2 linked regions of the Lytechinus pictus genome follow. The protein of the gene in region 2 purifies or fractionates together with the protein of the main gene of each other region. This does not show direct contact. Links are inferred from orthologs where the notes say so. Each region holds a gene or a part of one and is shown on either strand. Other genes may lie near its edges.

Region 1 (10,899 bases), on a different chromosome or scaffold from region 2:
TAAGGATTTTTCACGGGATTGTTTGTCCTTATTGTGACCATTAGCAAGCTTATAGTTTAGTGTACTCCAACGATGTTGTAGGACTAACCATGTTCATCGATCAAAGTAGAATGTCTATTGCTGCTCTCCTTCAGACAAAATTAGATGCGCTACTGATGTTGGCAGGGAGGGGTGGCGGGGGTATCGTAGCCAGCACAAAATTCCATGAAAACACACGAGAATCGAAAATCACTCAAAATCATAGGCAATCTTCTCCCAATGCTTATCCAGTCTATTCTTAAATGCAATCACTGAACAAGCAGTAACTACATCTTCTGGGAGATGATTGTTCCACACATCTATCATTCGGTTAGCAAAGAAAAACTTACGCACATCAAGACCTTTTCTCTAGCTTTAAGGAATGACCACGTGTTTTACCACCATTTCTCAGACAGAAAAGCTCAGAACTTCTATCATAGTAACCATGCAGATATTTGTACACGTCAATCATGTCACCTCTTTTATGTCTGTCTGTGACTGAGTGATGGCAATTTCAGGAGGCGAAGACGTTCAGAGTATGATAGGTGCTTAATACCTGGGATGATCCCGACCTTTCGTTGGAAGAACGCTAACGCTTATTTACGACGTTAGTTGATTTTGGAATTGACTTTTGGGCCCGTCGTCATGGTCTTAAAACTCTGTCCTGCAATGCAAATTGTGCGACATGAGATTTTTTTTTTCGTTTCGCATCTGGAACGGAAACATTCAATTTGCGTTTCGTGTACAAAATTCTGGTTGCTACTATGGTAACAGCGATATATCCGATTTAGGACGACTTTCCAAATCCACATTTGGTTCCTCCCAGAGCTCGAAAGGCCGCCCGGGGGGCCCACTTTCATTGAAGAGTGGATACCAGGCGCAACAACGCGTGACAAGGGAAAGAGTGGGTAAGTACGTTACGTATATAGGCCTATGTAACGTTATAAAGGTGTCAAAAACGATGATTAAAATACTGATAAAAGGGATATATTTCCAATACTTGTAGGGTTTCACAAGCCAAATAATTGTTAAAAGATGCATTTTCATAATCTGGAAAAGACTTGCTTCCCTTGTTTAGGGTACTTTTCGAAACCCCATGGTCGTGCCTGGTATCCACTCATCAATGGAAGTGGTCCCCCCGGAATTTGAATCTAACCCCCCATTTCAGGGGAAAGTAAAACATAATACCCTTTACATCGTGTGCTAGAGGCGTATCGTTTGTGTAGAAGGAGTGAACAAAAGAAACAAAAGAAACCCGCATGTTCAAACGTATTGCATACGCTGTGTACATATGCGAAATGGGTTCGGCTGGAGAGGTGATCTGACCCATGGAATCAATTGCCAGTCATCCACCAATAATCCACATTAAATGCAATATCGTTTCCATGGACTGTAATGATCTACATCTAAGCCTTAATTTAGTAAGTTTTTCCTCACTTAATATGTACTCGATTTGTTTGAAACACCACTTTCTTATACATGTCATATTCTATTTTAGGTCCTGCATTTCGAATATCTCCAGCCATCAGTCGTAATACATGCATGTATGGCGCGCGGGTGTCGCGGGAAAGAATTTTGCACACGAAAAGCAGATCTGTAGGGCCTGTAACCCCCCCTGTAAAACAAATCTTAGCATTGATTGTAGAGCAGTTTTCTACGTTTGATTCTATTGACTATAATGCAGGGGCCGCGGAACCGGGGGGGGGGGGGGGCTTCAGCCAGAGGCGTCGATCATGGGGGGGGGGGCAGGGGGGGCAACCGCCCCACCAATGAAAATATTGGGGGGCAAACATATCGTTTTGCCCCCCCAATAATTCCGCATGTGCAAAAAATAAAATAAGATTGTAATGTTACACAGAAATCAGCAAGCGAGATTGAAATACACAACTCGTTCTTCATCTAAAGTCGTGCTAAAAATGTCCGGTTTTCAGATTAGAATATAAAAAAATTTCAGCTCGCGCTTCGCGCTCGCATCATTTCTGTAGCAAAAACCCATACTTTTCATGATTGAATAGGTGAATAGAATGTCCCGTTTTCAGTTCTATACCTCAAAAGAACTCCCACTTCGATTTGCAATAATCTTTTGTTGGATTTATTTCTTGTTCTTTATTAAAAACGTCAATTAAACTCTTGTTTTTTAAGATCAAAATATCAAAATTTTCAGCTCGCGCTTCGCGCTCGCATCTATTATTTTTTAATTTTTTTTACATTTAATTTGTTGGTGAGATGTGTGTGTGTGTGTGTGTATATATATATATATATATATATATATGTATATATATATATAATCTATATATATATATACATATAGGCATATGTGTGTGTGTGTTTGAGTCTGTTTTGTGTGATCGAGCGCCTTTGGAATGTTGATTCATGATTTTGCCCCCCCAATCTGAAAAATGGATCGACGCCTCTGGCTTCAGCCCCCCACTTTTTTTCCAAAACCGTGTACAAAAACGTAAAAATGACCATATGATTGTGATTTTTTAGCATGGTCAGCCCCCCCCCACTTTTGGCTCAGCCCCCCCCCCCACTTTGAAAACCGTTCCGCAGCCCCTGTAATGTACAATCAATCTTAAAAATCAAGTGTATGATTAAGCGTCAACTTTTGTGTTAGGGGACCCTAATATTAGCGTCCGTGAGCCGTGAGGATTGCGAAAGGTGGCAAATAATAGACGCCATCCCACCTTTCTTCCCGTTCTTTATATTTTTCTATCCTCGGCAACCCGGTCTTGTTATTAAGTTATTCTCTTTTTTTCTCGTCCCTTTTCTCTATATTTTGATTTTCCAATTAAGCTTTTGGTTCTACCTTCATTTCCGTTTCTTTCTGCCTCTTTCTCCAATTTTCCCGCCATTCTTGTCCGTGCCATTGAGTCATATCTTTTGATTTCATATCCCTCTCTTGGTATCATGCTATAGTGTATTAGTATTTCAGGATATTTGTACTTCCTCACGTGTTCTCCTTTCCTTTTCCCGCTTTCCTTCCATTTTCCCTCTTTATGTTCTTTCTTTCCCTTTCTTTTCATTTTTTTCCCTTTCTTTTTCACCTTTCCTCTTTTTCTGTCTTTCCTTCCCTTTCCCTTTCCCTTTCTCTCTTTCCCGGTTTTTTTTATTTTCCCGGTGAAATCCGCCGCCCCCCGCCTGTTAATTACGCCACTGTACTGAAGTAGGGGACACGCGTCCCCTTGCCCCCTATGGGATTTTCGCCCATGGAAGATGATGAGGAGGAGGAGTAGGAGAGTGATGATGGTGATAACGTTGGTGGTGATAGTGATGAGGATGATGATGATGAACACGACGAATTGATTGATTGATTGAAATATCACAGGAGATTACAATTAAATTGAAGAATACCTTGACAGGATAGCCCATGAAAGCCGAAAGGCTTATTTCCAATGGGGTCCTATAGTTAGTATAAAACATTAACATATTGTAACAAAACGTATAAACTACGACAAGTACTGGAATATGGATAAAAAAATGATAAAATACATACATATCCATCAGTCAAATAATATGCAAACATCTGAAGCAAACAACAATCTTCCTAATATATGAAACAAGATTATATTTTAACTTAACCTACATTATCTACAATACTAGAAACCAACTGTACAAAATGTGTGATTTTTACTGGTAATATACTGCTCTCGAGTAGCTTCCAGTTATGTTTATGTCATGATCTCATGGAGGTAACTCATCATGACGATGATAGGTAAGGTAGGCCTACGTGGTGTACTCATGAACATTGAATATGATGACGGCCATGTCGACAATATTCATGGCGACGAGTCCCGCGACCAGGGGCGGAAATCTCTCCCAAAAGGTAGGGGGACACAAGGGCGGATCCAGCCTTCGCCAATGGGGGGGGGGGGGGGGGGGGGGCGGGGGGCGCGCGGACATTTGTTTCAGCCATATTTTCCCCGATCGGCAGCGGAAAATTTCGAGATTTAGTCCTATAATATTTACTGAACGAGACACTCTATTCATGTTTTGTAAATCATGAAAAGGATGAGTATTAATAATGCGAGCAGAAAATTTTTATATACGTTTTGAACTGGTACCTGTTGAAAAGACTGCTTGCACTAAGCCATGAAGGCGTTACATATTTCAACAATCAAAAAGTGCGAGCGCGAAGCGCGAGCTGAAAATTTTTGAAAATTTCTAAAGAAAGAATGGAAAATTTTAATCAATTTTCGGAATCGTGAACAGGATAGCTATATAATTCAACAATTGATGCGAGCAGAAAAAAAATCGAGATTTAGACCTAAAAATGGGCCACTCTGTTCATGTTTTGTAAACAGCCATAGGCTGATCGAGGGCTTTTTAACGTGTTTAAATAAAATAAATCAATCAAAATCAATGTTTTGTAAATCATGAAAAGGATGAGTAATATAAGGGGGTCTTCCTACATTAATAATGCGAGCACAAAGCGCAAGCAGAAAAATTTTGATATTGTGATCTGAAACTGGATAATGATTTAAATAGAGAACAAGTGGAGTATTTGAATAAACATGCGCGCGCGTGTTTCATAATTTAGAACAAGAATCTAGGCATTCTAAATACATCTTTAATCATGAAAATCATGAAACATTGATATTCCGATCTGAAAAAAAAGTCAATTACAGCTTTATATTTCAAGCACTTTGTAGGAAAATTGTAAAGTGGAAATGGATCACACTTAAAAAAAAGAGCTAAAATTTTCATTATTTTTACTTTGAGTTTTGACATAGGACCGGGACAGCCTTATACGACATGTCATGAAAATGATGACTATCTTCCTATTCCTCTTGCTTAGCGCGAGATGAAACAAAAGGGACAATTTAATTATTAAATTAATATCATATTTATTGATGCCTAATGAGGGCGAGAAATCTGATGATATTATGGCATAAAAACTGGACATTTCACTTTTGTAATTATGAATAGGATGCATCAGTTAATATATTTTTAACCATTAATGCGAGCGCAAATCGCGAGCTAAAATTTTGATAAACTGAAGCAGCGAATGTTGATAACATTATTCAGACCATAAAACTGACATTTTTACAGAGCACCTTTTAAAAATCAATTTGTAAATCACACAAAATAATGAAAGTTCGATTTCCGAGGTGAAATATGTTTTGTATATTGACTTCCAAACTTGATAGTTGAGCTCCATATTAAACAAGATATGTCAATCACCTAACAGGCAATGCGAGAGCGAAGCGCGAGCGAAAATTTTATATAGTGGCACGAAAGATTCTTTTTATTTTCCAAGTCTTCCCCTCATTTTATTTTATGCACTCGTCGTCCTTCTCTTCTTTTTCTCCTCTCTTTTCCCTCCTTTTTTCCCTTTTCCTTCTTTCTTTCCCTTTTTTTCCCTTTTTTTTTCTCCGCCAATAGGGGGGGGGGGGCCTCGGCCCCCTGGATCAGCCTATGGGGACAAGGGGCGGGAAAATTTGACTAGCAAAAAAAAGGTTATCATCCCAAAAGTACTATCATCTCGTCCCAACTCGTCCCAAAATACATGTTTTATTGATCGATTTAGAATGATGTATTTCTTACTATCATAAAAGACAAAAATAGTAGGGGGGACATTTGATATTGTGTCCCCCCTACTATTTTGAGTAGGGGGGACACGTCCCCCCTGTCCCCCCTGGGATTTCCGCCCATGCCCGCGACGAGTGAAGATGCATGATCAGGATTGTGATGACATATGCTGATTTGGCTGGTGACGATTGTTGTCTAAGGTGGAGTTGCTCAGCTGGCTGGGTGCATCTTTGTGGCGGGTATCCCCGGGTATCTAGACCTATACGCCTTACGGAGACACCAATGATCGTAGAATTATGGTAATGGTACAGGGGTTAATCGATCTTTAATTCTGACTCGATCATTCTTTGATTCAGAAGGTAATTATTTCCCCCATTCCTTCCTTCCCTACTCCCCCCCGGCCCCTCAACCAGAAATCAAACCGGATGCGATGCGCGCCATCTACGTTCACACAATTACAGCGGCAGCGGAAAATCAAAATTTGATTTGAAGACTTTGTCTGAAGTGAAATAAAATGGATATTTTTGTCAAGTTTGTTTCGCAGAAAGTTGGAAAAGTCAGATGGCAGCCTTCTTCATTCAAAGGAATTCAATTCTCCGATACATTTTTAACCGGAAGTTGGGATGATGAGGTACGTGTTTTATAGCTCCTTGACGATAGATCACGAATGAAAACTTGTGAAATTCAATTGAGCTGTAACTTAGTGTGTACGGTTCAGATGCTTATTTCCGTTGCGTATGTACGCGAGACCGCTTTCGGTTGGGAGCGCCCGTCTTGCCCCCAAAAAAGAAATAATTTGCAAGTTAACTTTTGGCAATAAAGTCATTCATATGTACTCTAATTACTGGCGAATTTGCAAACTACCAATACTATGACATGATTAACGTTCATCATGTTCATAATTGTGGGCATGAAAAATTGATGATTAAAAAAACATTTATTTTATGGGTATGATAACCATGAAATATGAATTGAAAAGACAATTTTTTGGGGGTGGCCTTTTTTTTTTAGCCTGCCTTTTGGGCACTTAAGCTTTGCAGATTTAAGTTGGAGTTGGACTTCACGATCAGATTTTTCACAAGGCCAAGGGGTACCACAATAATACCTCAAAACACCCCAAATAAAAAAAAAAGAAAGATAGCAAATCATGCAGAAATGCACCCACCTCGGCTCAATCCTATAGGCTATAAGTACTATAATGATGTTTGTCCGCACAGACTCCCTATCCTCAATAAGTACTACTACTAGGCCTAGTACTAGTATTCGGCAACATGATCCTCAAAATAATAGTTGGGCTTCTTTTCTCCCATTCAAAATTGCACACAATGCACTAGACAGGAATAACCGTCGTTTCTGGGGATTTATTCAACAATTTCTGACATTTTACTGTAATCCCCATTTACCGACGGTAGGGTGTACGTGTGGGCTCGCATGTGTTCTCATTCCCTCCCTTTTGTCAATTCACAGTCCAAAGTTTGATGTAATTTTACACATCGAATTTACAATCTAAGGATGTATAACCAACAAACTTTTAAAACTTGATATTCCATTATCAAAATACTTTAAACGATATAGATGAAAAGGCATGAAAATTATACTTTACCGATGTTTAATTGGGTTGAACACGATAAAAATGGTCAAAATGGCAGCCAAACTATGAAATATTTACAAACGAACGGAGAGGGCGTCAACAATCACGAATATGATATCGATATTGCTTTCGATATTATACGATCTGCTCCATACGCGAGCGTACCGAAACACCGTTACCATCACAGGTAGCAGACGACATTCGATATATCGAGACATTAAAAAGTTAATAACAATAATGAAGTCATTCAAGATGGCAACTTGCAAGAAAAACCCTCAGCTCAGGTGAAAATGTCTTAGATGAAAGATTTCTCAATCATCCAGAGGATTTTTTTCAATAACTTCTGTCCAAGGTACGCAATTACTTAAGTTATTTATATTTCCCTGATAATTGAAACCATGAAACTGTAAATTTCGCTTAAAAACAGTTTAAAATCGCGACCTATAAAACGTTAGTTCACTTAATACGTTGGCTGTACGTACGGGCCTCCAAGCTCTTCAGTCTATGTATTGGTGAGTGGAGCCAACGTAGTTCAGCGGAACAACCAAAATACAGAGACTGAAGCTTTTGGTCTAACAATGCACAAGATGACGGACTATCGATGGGCGCATGCGCAAATTCTAACTGAAGTTGAAATTATTTAAAAGATCTGCCCACAGCAGCTCACCCATTTTTTTGCATGATTTCAGTCAATGTGACTTTAGTCTGGATATAATCAAAATTAAGGCGAATCCAAGTAATTTTGATGTAAACTGAAGTTAGCGACTAAAATCATGTGAACAAACAGTTGAGCTGCTGTGGGCAGATCTTTTCATCGCTAACTTGAGCTAGAATTCGTGTATGCTCCCATCGGGACTGGTCTGCCGTTTTGTGTGCAATTTTGAACGGGAGAGAGTGGACGCCGAGCTATTTTCTCTTTTTTCTTATCATGATATACTGTAATAAATATAACCTTTGATGTTGGATGATTGGTTTCAAATCGTCAGAAATAATCTTAGGTCTCCTATGGCCATGCCATGCAATCTTGTCTATTGTGTAAACTTTGAGAATAATTCTTTCATTTTCATCTTACAAAAAAAAAATCTGCAGGAGAATAAGATCTCACTTTGGAAGGTTCCAGGTGTCCAGAACAAAGCAGGGGCTGCAGGAGCCTGGCAACAAGACTATCCACAGCAGAGGACCACAGCCTTAGAAGGACAAGCAGGAGAAGAAGAACAGGAGCCTGTATTGCTCTGTCAGATGAAACATGATGGGGATGTCACAGATATACAGGTATAAGTTTTCTATAATTGATTGATTCATTCCTATTTTGTTTTGGATTTATCTAAGATTTAATATTGCTTCATGAAGTTCAATGAAACAAAAAATGTGAAATTAAGTTGGCATTAAAAGTTGACCATCCGTAAGACATGTATTTCACGTAGTTGAAGTTTTTTAAAAAAAAATCAGATTATGCAAGATATGTGTGAGTGCCTCCTCAAACATGAAACTCTCCTTGTTAGAGTTTTAAGCTCCTGCAAAACCTGACTTTTGTTCATGTCTATGTATGTAGGCAGGGTGACCAGAACAATAAATCACATACATGTACATGTACCATGATAAAATTTAATTATCTATTCTTGGCCTTGGGTCATGAATTCCTATGTTCATTCATATTTAATTGGTTCGCTACATGATCATAATTATAAGTAAGCACTAGATAACTGTGATTTATGCTGCATTTCGATAAATTTTTGCTAAGGCTCTTGGAGGCCCATGCTTTGCAATCAATGGTATTACCGTACTTCTCTTTTTTTTTACCCCCCTTAATCAATTTTCCCCTCTATTTTGAAATGTTACACTCGATGATCTTCCAAGAACTTTGATTTGCTGGAATTTTATAACCAATCCTGCAGTTATTTTTGAATTGCTTCATTATTTCATTTTCCAAAAAGGAATTTAGACATCTTGATGTTTTCATATTCTGATTTGTTCTACACTTATTCACTTGAACACTTTATCAATCTTGTAGCATGTCATTCTTAGGTCCATTCAGGGTAAATGTGCAAATAATTGGCATTCTTGTATTCTATTTTCATTCCTGTAGTTTGTCAACCAAGATGTTTTCTTAGCTTCTTCATCATGCGGAAGTGTTCAAGCGTTCAGGTGCAACAAAGCTAAAGGGGTAAGTCTGGGCATGGAAATACTATTAAACTATTTTGTGTAATTGCCACTTTGTCTATTTGCAAGTTTGGCTGTGCATTTATTGTCTTATTTCCACTTGGTATAATGAATGATAAGGTAAAATAATCATAAAAAATTCACCTCCTCTACCTCTTCAGGACTTTGCGCCCTCTCAGAAATGGTCCGGCATTCATCACCACCCTGCCGACACCTGTTCCTGTACCTGCATAGCCGTCAATGGAACGGACATCTCCACCTGCGGAGAGGACGGAAGGATTAACGTCCTGCGGCTGGAGCACAGACAACCGATAAGAACCATTGGTGAGCAGGGGCAGATCCAGGATTTTTCGAAAGGGGGGGGGGCACATTTTCTTGAGGAAAAATTTGACAAGCAAAAAAAAAAGAAGAAAAAAAGGGTTTTAACCAAAAGTTAAGGGTATTTTGTCCACGAAAAAAATTTGAAGAAGTTGTTTTTTGGAGGAATAAAATCAGACAAGAACACAGGTGTAAACAGACAATGTCATACCAATCAATTGAGGGGGAAGACAATAGTTCATACCCCCCTTCCTATGATCAATAGGTTCACTGCTTGAATTTACGCCGGTGGACAAGAAGATGGATGAAAATTTGAATATTAGCAGACAAACAATAAGAAAATTCTTTTTTAAAGAAGAATGAAAACCCTGGAGCAAGTTAGCTTGTTTGAAAGCAGAAAATAAATGAATAAGATCAGTGGAAGTTGGCAATAAGAAATTTATGAGCACTTGAATGTTAAGCTCACTAATGGTATGGAGATCCTCATATTGGCCATGCAAACAAGCTCTTTGATGTCATACTTGTACAACTCACCCCTTTGGACAATGAAATTATCCCCAAAACATCTCCCTTTGAGTCTCTGCTCATTCTAATGATTTGACAAACAATTCAACCATGATGAAACATCTATTACCTGTCGTCTCATTAAAAAGAATACAGTGAATATAATGATGGCCTAGATAAAAGAGAAGTGAAACATGTACTAGGGTAATGTGGAAGTTGTATGAGTGAGATATCACATATCTTGGTCACATCACCAGTTTTGCATTAAGCGGATCTTGTGAAGAGCTTATGAAATAGCCCCTTGCGTATTTTTTCTCATCATACATAGATGAAGCTGATAGCTGCAGCATCAACGCATTGACACACCTGAAACAGCATGAGGTAATAACAGTGAATTCGGCTGGGCAGCTCAAGATATGGGACTTACGGCAGCCGGGCTCACAGCCAACAAGGTTCTTTATAGTGTAAGTAACCCATCTTTTGACAATTTTTTTCATTTACCCATTCAAGTAAGCATTTACTTTCTTCCATTTTTTCACAAAATGGCATTTTTCAACACTAAAGGTACAACTGCAGGCACATACCCTTGGTTTTGGAATAGAGCATAAAACAGTCTGAACCAGGAGACTAGATTCACTGTGACTTTTTGACTCAGACATTGTACTGAATGTTTATATATATATATGTCAAATTCAATTTCGGCGCGGTCAACGGCCGACATCTCGAGGGGGAGGGGGGCCTGGCCTCGGCCATATGAACTCCCAAAATACCCTGGC
Region 2 (9,798 bases):
TCAAAAAATGCGAATTATTACAATATCGCGATTCTACAGCTGACGTGTGCATCACAATCGTTAGTTTAAGCCTTCGTTTTTTTTGCTTCTCCTTGTCTCATGCCCATTATCCAAAATTTTATCTTCCACTTTGTAAGTATAGACAACTAGTTCCAGCACAGCTCCCTTCATCAATGCATGTAATGTCACTACATCACCACCTAATCCTTATTTCTCAACCATCTGCTGATCCCTACCATTTAGTAATACTTTCCTCATGTTTGATGGGGAATTTGATGCCATTTATGTACTTATCTATGACAAACAAATGTTATGTAATACATCATGTTCCTCTCCTTGCATCATATGGTAAAGTCATCATCTCACTCTGTGGCTGAAAGTGGCTATAAAATGAAGGAGGATTGTCTTTTGCTACCTCCACTCATGCCACTTTATTGGCAGTCATTCCCAGTTCTCTGGTCTAATTCTGGGGTCCATAATTGCTGACACAATGTGCCTTTACTACATGTATGATTCAACTTGGAAGACATGGCTGCTGAAACCAATGACCATTTGGTATTTGTCTTCATGGACATGCTACCTACCACAAGTGAGTGTGTTCTGACTATAACCAACTATTCTTCCAAACGTGAATCTACAAAGCAGAAACACGCAATTCACAAGTTTGCTGAAGCCCTCCAATTTCAGTGGCAGAAGGCATTTTCTGAAGAACATGTACTGACTCTCAACCCAATCAAGAAAAGGCTGTATAGTGCAATACAAGCATACTCAAGTAAAGTTCTCAAAAAGGCAAGAAAGGAAAGGCGAATTCATCACCTCAGATGGAAAGCTGAAGTGTCAGGGTTATTTGACATTTTGAAGCCGACTTCTGATCCTGACAAGTTTGATCCTGATGAACGTGCCTTCTATTACGATAAAAAATTTGGTGCTAGAAAGATGGCACTGAGTGATCAGATCGATCTTGAGTATGATGTTGCTGGTGAACAGGAGCGAAGTGAAGCATTGGAGCATCGTCAGGCCGAAGAAGCAGAACTGGCTTTTATTGAAGATGGTGCAAGACTGCCTGCTGCTGCGATGGATGCCGATTATCAGGATGATCACATGTCTGTGTCAACTGACTTAAATACCTCATTTACAAGGGCAGGCTCAATTCGACAAACCGTGCCAAAAGTTGATGAAGCCACTCAGACTACTCTTGATGTCAACTCGGCTGTTCCAATTCGTACTGGAAAACGCAACTTTGACCCCAAAATTAAGTGCGCTCTGGCATCAGCAAGCAGCCAAGCCTCAATAAGTGTAGAACAAGCACGTCGATCATTTCAAGTGACCAGTGAAGTGTTTTTTTTCTTATCTGCAGATGAAGCTCTACAGAATGAATTGGGTGAGTAATACATTCAAGCCTGTAGGCTAAGTTGCATTCAGTTTACAAGGGAACAAAATACAATGTATAAATTGATCAAGATATAACATTTCTAAATGTCCAATCAGCCAACATATTCAGGATAATGTTAGCATAGATTACAGCATTGCATAATAATAAATCATGATAAAGAGAGAACGAGAAAGTGAATATGAAAAAGAAAAAAAATGTTTCTTGTACTAGTACAAAAGCTGTGTCCTTTTTTATTTTCAAACTGCAGGTCAAGCTACTAGCAAGTCTCCTAAGCGTCCTAGGAAAGCTGCAGAGTATGCAGCAACTTACCAGCATGTTCTGCCTTCAGCCCGTGTCCTTGCACGTGAGAAACACATGCAAGCAATACAGCAAGAACGTAATGCTGCACTGGCTATTCTTGATGCATCTGGTGAAGACAAAGTGACTATACACTATGATACTACAACACGGCGTAGGATTTCTGGAGAGTGGACATCCATAATTGTCCGACTAGCAAGTGGGAAACTCTTCAGAATGCGACCTTTGTCTATGGCTCTTGAAAATCGAGAAAATATCACAAGGTTAATGGTTGAAGTTATCAAGCGTCTCTCTCTTGCTACGTGCAACCAAGCCTCACAAGAGGATCTGTGGAAGAAGGTTTTTGCATTTATGACTGACTCAGTTGCCAAAAACCTACACATTGAGTCTCAAATAGCAGCATCTCTTAACAGTCAGCACATACCTCTACACTTGTTGTGTGTGAGCCACACATGTGAGGTATTTGATGCAGGCAATATCTCTACCCTTGTTCAGCATGAAGTCAAGTTAGGGCTTCGTGAAAAGCTAATTGCACACATGCCGACCCTGAAATCCTTCCTCAAGAAGAGTGTAATCATAGCAGCAATACAGGCACTGACAAAACTAGTAAGTAATGATGGACACAAGTCGTCCATGTGGGAGATCTTCGAGTGTGAGGTTGCATCTGCAGGCAAAACAAAGAAGCACAGCCTCTTTAAAGAACGCCGATTTGCTCAGATGGGATACACTGCTGCGGCCATTCTATATCACATCCCAGAGTATGAGGCAACATTGCAGAACACCAAATCCAACAACCTACTTGTTCAAGCCTGCCATCTGTACCTTGAGTGTGACTTCATCATGCTAGCATTGAAGGTATTGGCCTGGTTCACATACTGCATAACCCTCCCATTCCTTAATATGGTAGAAGTCAGCTCTCAGAATGATCTAGTGACCATCCTCCCACGTCTTCATGATGATCTGCTGAATAACAAGACAGATACGCTGTCTTCATACAAGGTACCATACTCTTTCCAAGTGGAAAAACCAGAGACAACTGTAGGCATGTATCTTCTGCAGCAAATGTGTCAGCAAGCTGCCAAAGATTTAGCCACTCAGAGAGGACGTGAGTATGGATTTCAGCAAACAGCAGAAACGGGTTTGGCAGAACCTAGAGCAACTGAACTCCACAAACTCACACCAGAAGATCTCACCAATCTACCTACAAACAATTTGCAGTGTGAGCGGGATCTGTCAAAGTTTGACAAACTCGCAAAACGGTCTGCAGCTGCTTCCAATAGAAACTTCACCGGCAAGGGTATTCGAGATGATATGACTTTGAACAAGGCTGGTGTAGTAACTGTGGAAAAAGTGACCCATAACATTGCAAAAGTGTTGGATAAGAGTGAACAGAAATGGGTGGAAGAGCAACATCCTCTCTCAGGAAAAGCTTCAGCGAAATGTGGCCCAAGCACAACAAGCAGTAGAGTATGTGCATAGGCTGTTACAGAAATGTAAAACATGGGGAGGTCCTTTAACAAATGTTGATGAGCTTCAGGAATGCCTGGATACCCAAGATCCCACCAAGCTTAAAACTATGTTACGTGCAGAGCTGTCATATCGCAGACACATCTCCCATCGAGATTACTTGGTGCGCCCACACTTGTATAAGGTCAACCAACTATGTGAAACACAAATGAAGGTGAACTTGACTCTTCTATTGACTGGAGGAGAGTCTGATAATCTCCCTGCCCCTGATCTTCCAACTGAAGATGACATGGTGAATGCATTCAATCTAAAGCCATCCAGTGGGATCACACAGCCAACTGCCCATTCCAACCTTGAAGAAAATACCGATAAAGAAGTGGGCATCAATGAGTTCTGTATTGTGATATGGGATTACAAAGATAAACGAAACTGGTACCTTGGTATGTGTCGAGACCAAAATAAAGACGGATATGAAATCGAGCACATGGAAAGAGTGAAAGGAAAAGATCAGCATGAGCAATGGAGATGGCCAAAGAAAGATGATGTACATACAGTACTGCCGATGCAGATCCTTCCATGTAATGTAATTGGCTCATGGGATACAACTTCCAGCAGAAACATGACATTTGTGCTTGACAATTGGCATATTGTAGAAGGCTTATTCAAGTCATTTTACAATTAAATATGTACACCCACAGTGGACCTGTATGTACTCTCTGACTAGAGGTCTAATGACCAAAATCTTATTAATTGGTACTTTTAAGCAGATACAGTATTACTATTGGCTCCACAGTTACCATGCCTGTCGACTCGAAATTCACCAGCCACATACAGGTTTTCTGCTTGACACATACATGTATGTAAGTTATTTGTATACTTCTTGCTGTATTGTTTAAAATACAAAAAAAAAAACACCTTTAATAGCTAGAATTCATTATTAAGAATATCATAGCTAGCATGACTTGAAGAAAATACAGAAAAAAGTACAATTGCTGTTGGGGTAGGGGTGAAGGAGAATGAAAATTTAACATTAAATATGGGGAAAAGGTGAGTATAATGTAGAAGATTAGGTTTAACACCAAAAATATCATTATATTCAATTTCTTTGACCCCTAAAACATGGGGTTAGACACCAAAATTATTACAATAGACAAAAAAATGACCGAGTAACAGCCAAAATTGTCTCTTTTTAGCCAAAACGGCGGCCATCTTGGATTTTTTACGTTTTCGGTCAGGGCACCCCGGATTTCACATTTTTTTAATTTTTTTTTTCAAAAATGGTGTCAGCAGGCACAAACTCATCAAACTAGGGTGTGATGAGCATGTTCTGAAAATGTGACCTAATATTGACCCTCTATAGCCCACCTCTAATAGCATTAGTGATCTCGACATTCAAATGCTCATAACTCTTTTATTGCTAGTCCTATTTTACTCAAAGTTTTGTTGATCTTATTCTTTGATTTTTCTGCTTTCACAAAAGCTAACTTGCTCCAAGAGTTTCATTCTCCTTTAACCGATCATGCTCATCCCTGCAAAATCTTGTGAATTGTGAGACTTTCTTTCTCCAGGAATTTCAAGGCCAAATAATTATTATAATCACGTATTAAATTTTAGTATTAGTGGATCTATAATAAATTGTTCTTCAAAACGGCATTTTGTAACATCGCTAATCAAAGGTACGTCATACATGTCATAACGATGCGGTTCGATCAAGTGACAATTAAGGGTCAGACCTATTGTATTTGCTTTGTTGACAAACGGATCGAGGGATCTACACGAGATCGGTCTGACGTCTGGTAAGAAATCTTCAATTTTTAACCTTTTTATTAACCAATTTTTGAAACCTTCATACGCATTAGGCGTATGAAGGTGTAAAACTAAAATTTGCCAATAAGGCAATAATTTAAAATTTTAAAGAAAATCACGGCAGCCAAAATCACAAAGTGACAAACATTTATTTAGCCTAGGCCTACGTGATTTTTATCTTAGATGGATTTCCTAGGCCTTAGGGAAATCCATCATTGTTTTGATGAGTCTCTTATACATATATGGCAGGCGGTTCATCAAGGCTCCATGATGAAGTATATGTCAAAATATTAATAAATATCATCATGGAGATCAAGGCTAGTCCACGCCGCGCCTCCTGTATAGGCTGTACACCCAACAGCAGGAACTATGAATGGGACCTACATGTCGGTTTACGCAGCGTGGCCGCTTGCGACTGTCACTGACAGTGACACTGCACTGGGCAAGCCAACCAATGTTAGCTTTTGTTACGTACCTAAAATTGACTCCGAAAATATATCTCGCATGAAACTTCTACCATTGTAGACCTGTTTAATAGGCTTCCTTGTAGACGGTTTCTCAACATTTTCTGGAGAGCTCTCTTTTGTGGAACTGACTTTTTGTTTGGCTGATTCTGAACTTTCGTTGCTCCGGATTGACGCCATTTTGAACAGCTCCCTCTTCGCTCGCGAGCTGAGCGAGCGCGAGGCGCGGGTATTATGTGTGTATAACAGCGCAATACAGCATACCAGATTCAGACGGAAATGAGGCTAGATTAAACTGGATATTTTGACTTCAAGTTCTGTTCTGGTAAGGTTATTTCTGTATATTATGTATTAAAGCGAGATAACGCAGGCGTAACGTTTGGTACCGTACCGGTATATAAATTTCAGAATATAAACTTCCAATCAAATTAATATGAGTTTGTTGTCGCCTGTCGTCGAGTTTTTTTAATGTTGCCGAGTTCATGATCCATGTGATGAGGCCGATGTGCTAAGCGTAGGACTAGGTATGATGGTGGGCCCTTAGTCTGCGCACCTAACAATTTGAGTTAAGATTTAACATGAATTTCTTCTTATTTCACAAAATCTTTTGGATAATAATGTTCCTTATATTATTGAGAGTAAGTATACCAAATTTCTCATTAAAAAATAAAAGAAAATATAGGATTTTCTTGAAAAAACCTTGGGCAGTCATTTTCAGATTGAAAAAAAAAATGGTACCGGTACCCCATGTCTGCGCACTCATTCACTTTGCACACGATTCAGAGATTTTGATGAGAAAGGCTGTATTTTGAGGCCGTCACATGAAATGCCCTGAATTCATTATTTTTTCACCATTTTGAGTCGGATTTTTTTATGAATACCTGTCTATGTATTGCATGTGTAAAGTTCGTGCTCGTTGCGTATCTTCTTTTACTAGAATCGCGCAGATACGCGGGTGCGCAGACTTGGGAGACCGCACAGACATGGGGGAACTGACCATACATGTAGATATGTAGGCCTACATAGTACAGGTCTAACACAGTTGAGTTAGGTCGACTGTGAGTGTGAATGTGATGAGAAGTGATTGTGATTGACGACTTAGCTGAGCTGAGCTACATGTAGCAGACTGCAGAGATCTGTTATTATACTACTAGGGTGAGTGACTGGGCTGTTTAACTTAAGTTAGATCTTATTCTTGGTTTAGATTCTGACTTCAATTCAAATCCAGTAATGCAGTACCGTAAGTAACGGTGTATTAACCGCACCTTTTTCTCGGCGGGACAGAATCAAAAGTCGGGGGTGCGGTTTATACACGGTGACAGGTCTGAGCCAAGCCAATCTCAGCCCGATACCACTACCAGTTTTCAACTCGCGTCGGGTGGCCGAGCGTAGCCGCTTGGGGCAATCCCGTTTAGAGGGGTATGAGCCGCGGGTATAAAAGGGAAGCAACTATGACTACCGGTATCTGCCGTAAATGTCCCTCAAAGTTATATCACGGTAACAAACGCACCTACCTTCATGAAACTGACTTTTTTTAATGGTGTGACTCTGTCTTTGTTGTCATTTTTTAGTCATCGCGGCAAAGTTCAGACGCCAATCGATCGCACAGCGCGGTGCAGCTAGCCGAATAAGACATGCATGTGTAATGTTTATCGCAACGTCAACGTAAGCTGGCGCTTTACCTTTCCGTGGAAGTTATTTTGTTTGACAAATTATTGGTATTATTTGACAATTAATTTCTTTCATTTGCCTTTCCTTCATTTCTCTCTATCATCCATCATCTCAAAATCAATCTTCAATCCCCATCTTTACTCCTTCCGACTTTTTATTTTTAATTATCATTCACTTTATTCCTGCCCAGAGCTCCCATTGAAAATACGGTATACCGGTAGCCTACTAGCATTTTTTCCCCCTATTTTGCTGTCTGTAAGATACCGCCACACACGTACTGAGAACTACCGGTAGTGGTTCAAAGCAGACAAGAAAAACACCTGAACAAAATCGCAAATTTCATGTATCTTGAACCTTCCCGTATTCCCTTGTCTAAAATTCATGTCAAGACATTGAATGCTAGACAGAATTCTGAAAGCAAAAGTGGGGCTGTGATGCAGGAAATATGATATGAACGATCTTCTCGTATGGGTCCTACATGTCGGTTTACGCAGCGTGGCCGCTTGCGACTGTCACTGACAGTGACACTGGGCAAGCCAACCAATGTTAGCTTTTGTTACATACCTAAAATTGACTCCGAAAATATATCTTGCATGAAACTTCTACCATTGTAGACCTGTTTAATAGGCTTCCTTGTAGACGGTTTCTCAACATTTTCTGGAGAGCTCTCTTTTGTGGAACTGACTTTTTGTTTGGCTGATTCTGAACTTTCGTTGCTCCGGATTGACGCCATTTTGAACAGCTCCCTCTTCGCTCGCGAGCTGAGCGAGGCGCGGGTATTATGTGTGTATAACAGCGCAATACAGCATACCAGATTCAGACGGAAATGAGGCTAGATTAAACTGGATATTTTGACTTCAAGTTCTGTTCTGGTAAGGTTATTTCTGTATATTATGTATTAAAGCGAGATAACGCAGGCGTAACGTTTGGTACCGTACCGGTATATAAATTTCAGAATATAAACTTCCAATCAAATTAATATGAGTTTGTTGTCGCCTGTCGTCGAGTTTTTTTAATGTTGCCGAGTTCATGATCCATGTGATGAGGCCGATGTGCTAAGAATTCTGAAAGCAAAAGTGGGGCTGTGATGCAGGAAATATGATATGAACGAGCGGCGGCGGCGGCGTCAACATAAAATCTTAACCTAAGGTTAAGTTTTTGAAATGACATCATAACTTAGAAAGTATATGGACCTAGTTCATGAAACTTGGACATAAGGTTAATCAAGTATTAATGAACATCCTGCCCGAGTTTCAGGTCACATGACCAAGGTCATTTAGGGTCAATGAACTTAGACCATGTTGGGAAAATTATTTTCAAAATCTTAACCGAAGGTTAAGTTTTTGAAATGACATAACTTAGAAAGTATATGGACCTAGTTCATGAAACTTGGGCATAAGGATAATCAAGTATTAGTGAAAATCCTGGTCGAGTTTCAGGTCACGTGACCAAGGTCAAAGGTCATTTAGGGTCAATGAACTTTGGTCAAGTTGGGGGTATTTGTTGAATTACCATCATAACTTTGAAAATTTATGGATTTAGTTCATGAAACTTAGACATTAGGTTAATCAAGTACCACTGAATATCCTGTGCGAGTTTCAGGTCACATGACCAGGTCATAGGTCATTTAGGGTCAATGAACTTTGGCCAAGTTGGGGGTATTTGTTGAATTACCATCATAACTTTGAAAATTTATGGATTTAGTTCATGAAACTTGGACATTAGGTTAATCAAGTACCACTGAATATCCTGTGCGAATTTCAGGTCACATGACCATGGTCAATGGTCATTTAAGGTCAATGAACTTTGGCCGTGTTGGGGGTATATGTTAAATTACCATCCTAGCTCTGAAAGTTTATGGATCTAGTTCATAAAACTTGGACATAAGAGTAATCAAGTATCACTGAACATCCTGTACGAGTTTCAGGTCACATGACCTTGGTCAAAGGTCATTAAAGGTCAATGAACTTTGGCCGTGTTGGGGGTATTTGTTGAATTACCATCCTAACTGTGAAAGTTTATGGATCTAGTTCATAAAACTTGGGATATAAGAGTAATCAAGCATCACTGAACATCCCCTGTGAGTTTCAGGTCACAAAACCAAGTCAAAGGTCAGTTAAGGTCAATAAACTTAGGCCATGTTGGGGTAATTGTTGAAGTGCCATCATAACTTTGAAAGTTTATGGATAGAGTGAATGAAATGTGGACATGGGTGTAGTTGACAGTCTTAAGTCTCCGTTCAAATGTCATTTATGGTCAATGAACGTGGTATTATGTCATTATATGAATGATGTTTTTGTGAATGATTATTTTATAGTAGTTTTCAAAGTTAGCACTGCTGCTATATTAAATCGCGTAATGCAGGCGAGACTGCCAGAGGCGTTCCACTTGTTATTGTTTGAAAACAAAGTGCGTAGCTTTAGGTCCCCCATCATATAAGAGACACTTGTAAACAAAGATGGATTTCCCTAGGAAATCCATCTTTTATTGTTTTAATATAAAAATCACGTAAATTGTTGTGATTTTATTAATCTCTAGGCCTACAGTGTACACTTTTACTTGCCCTGGGCAATCGGGCAAGTGCTTATGTAGCACCCGGCACACACACAATAAACAAATGCCTTGGGCTTCTGAGTAGCCTGGAGGCTTCTGGGGAGTAAAAGATACGTAGGCTTACTCCCAATGAAGCCTGGCTTCGCG

What was found. Proteins that work in one complex are often made in the same cells at the same time.
Region 1: the proteins of nuclear pore complex protein Nup98-Nup96-like (region 2) and nucleoporin Nup43-like purify together in Homo sapiens (affinity purification with mass spectrometry; 4 studies listed by BioGRID and IntAct, counting the BioPlex papers as one, with this or other methods). This does not show direct contact. The link is inferred for Lytechinus pictus from reciprocal best matches to the Homo sapiens genes NUP98 and NUP43.

What each region holds. Positions count from the first base shown.
Region 1 is NC_087258.1:19,777,449-19,788,347, forward strand, and holds the start of nucleoporin Nup43-like, read left to right. Parts: upstream 1-5,989; 5' UTR 5,990-6,064; coding exon 6,065-6,181; intron 6,182-8,230; coding exon 8,231-8,413; intron 8,414-9,227; coding exon 9,228-9,305; intron 9,306-9,462; coding exon 9,463-9,625; intron 9,626-10,451; coding exon 10,452-10,587; intron 10,588-10,899. UniProt on the Homo sapiens protein: Component of the Nup107-160 subcomplex of the nuclear pore complex (NPC). The Nup107-160 subcomplex is required for the assembly of a functional NPC.
Region 2 is NC_087249.1:39,826,234-39,836,031, reverse strand, and holds the start of nuclear pore complex protein Nup98-Nup96-like, read left to right. Parts: upstream 1-5,667; 5' UTR 5,668-5,752; intron 5,753-5,914; exon of another isoform or gene 5,915-6,065; intron 6,066-7,881; exon of another isoform or gene 7,882-7,970; intron 7,971-9,798. UniProt on the Homo sapiens protein: Plays a role in the nuclear pore complex (NPC) assembly and/or maintenance. NUP98 and NUP96 are involved in the bidirectional transport across the NPC. May anchor NUP153 and TPR to the NPC.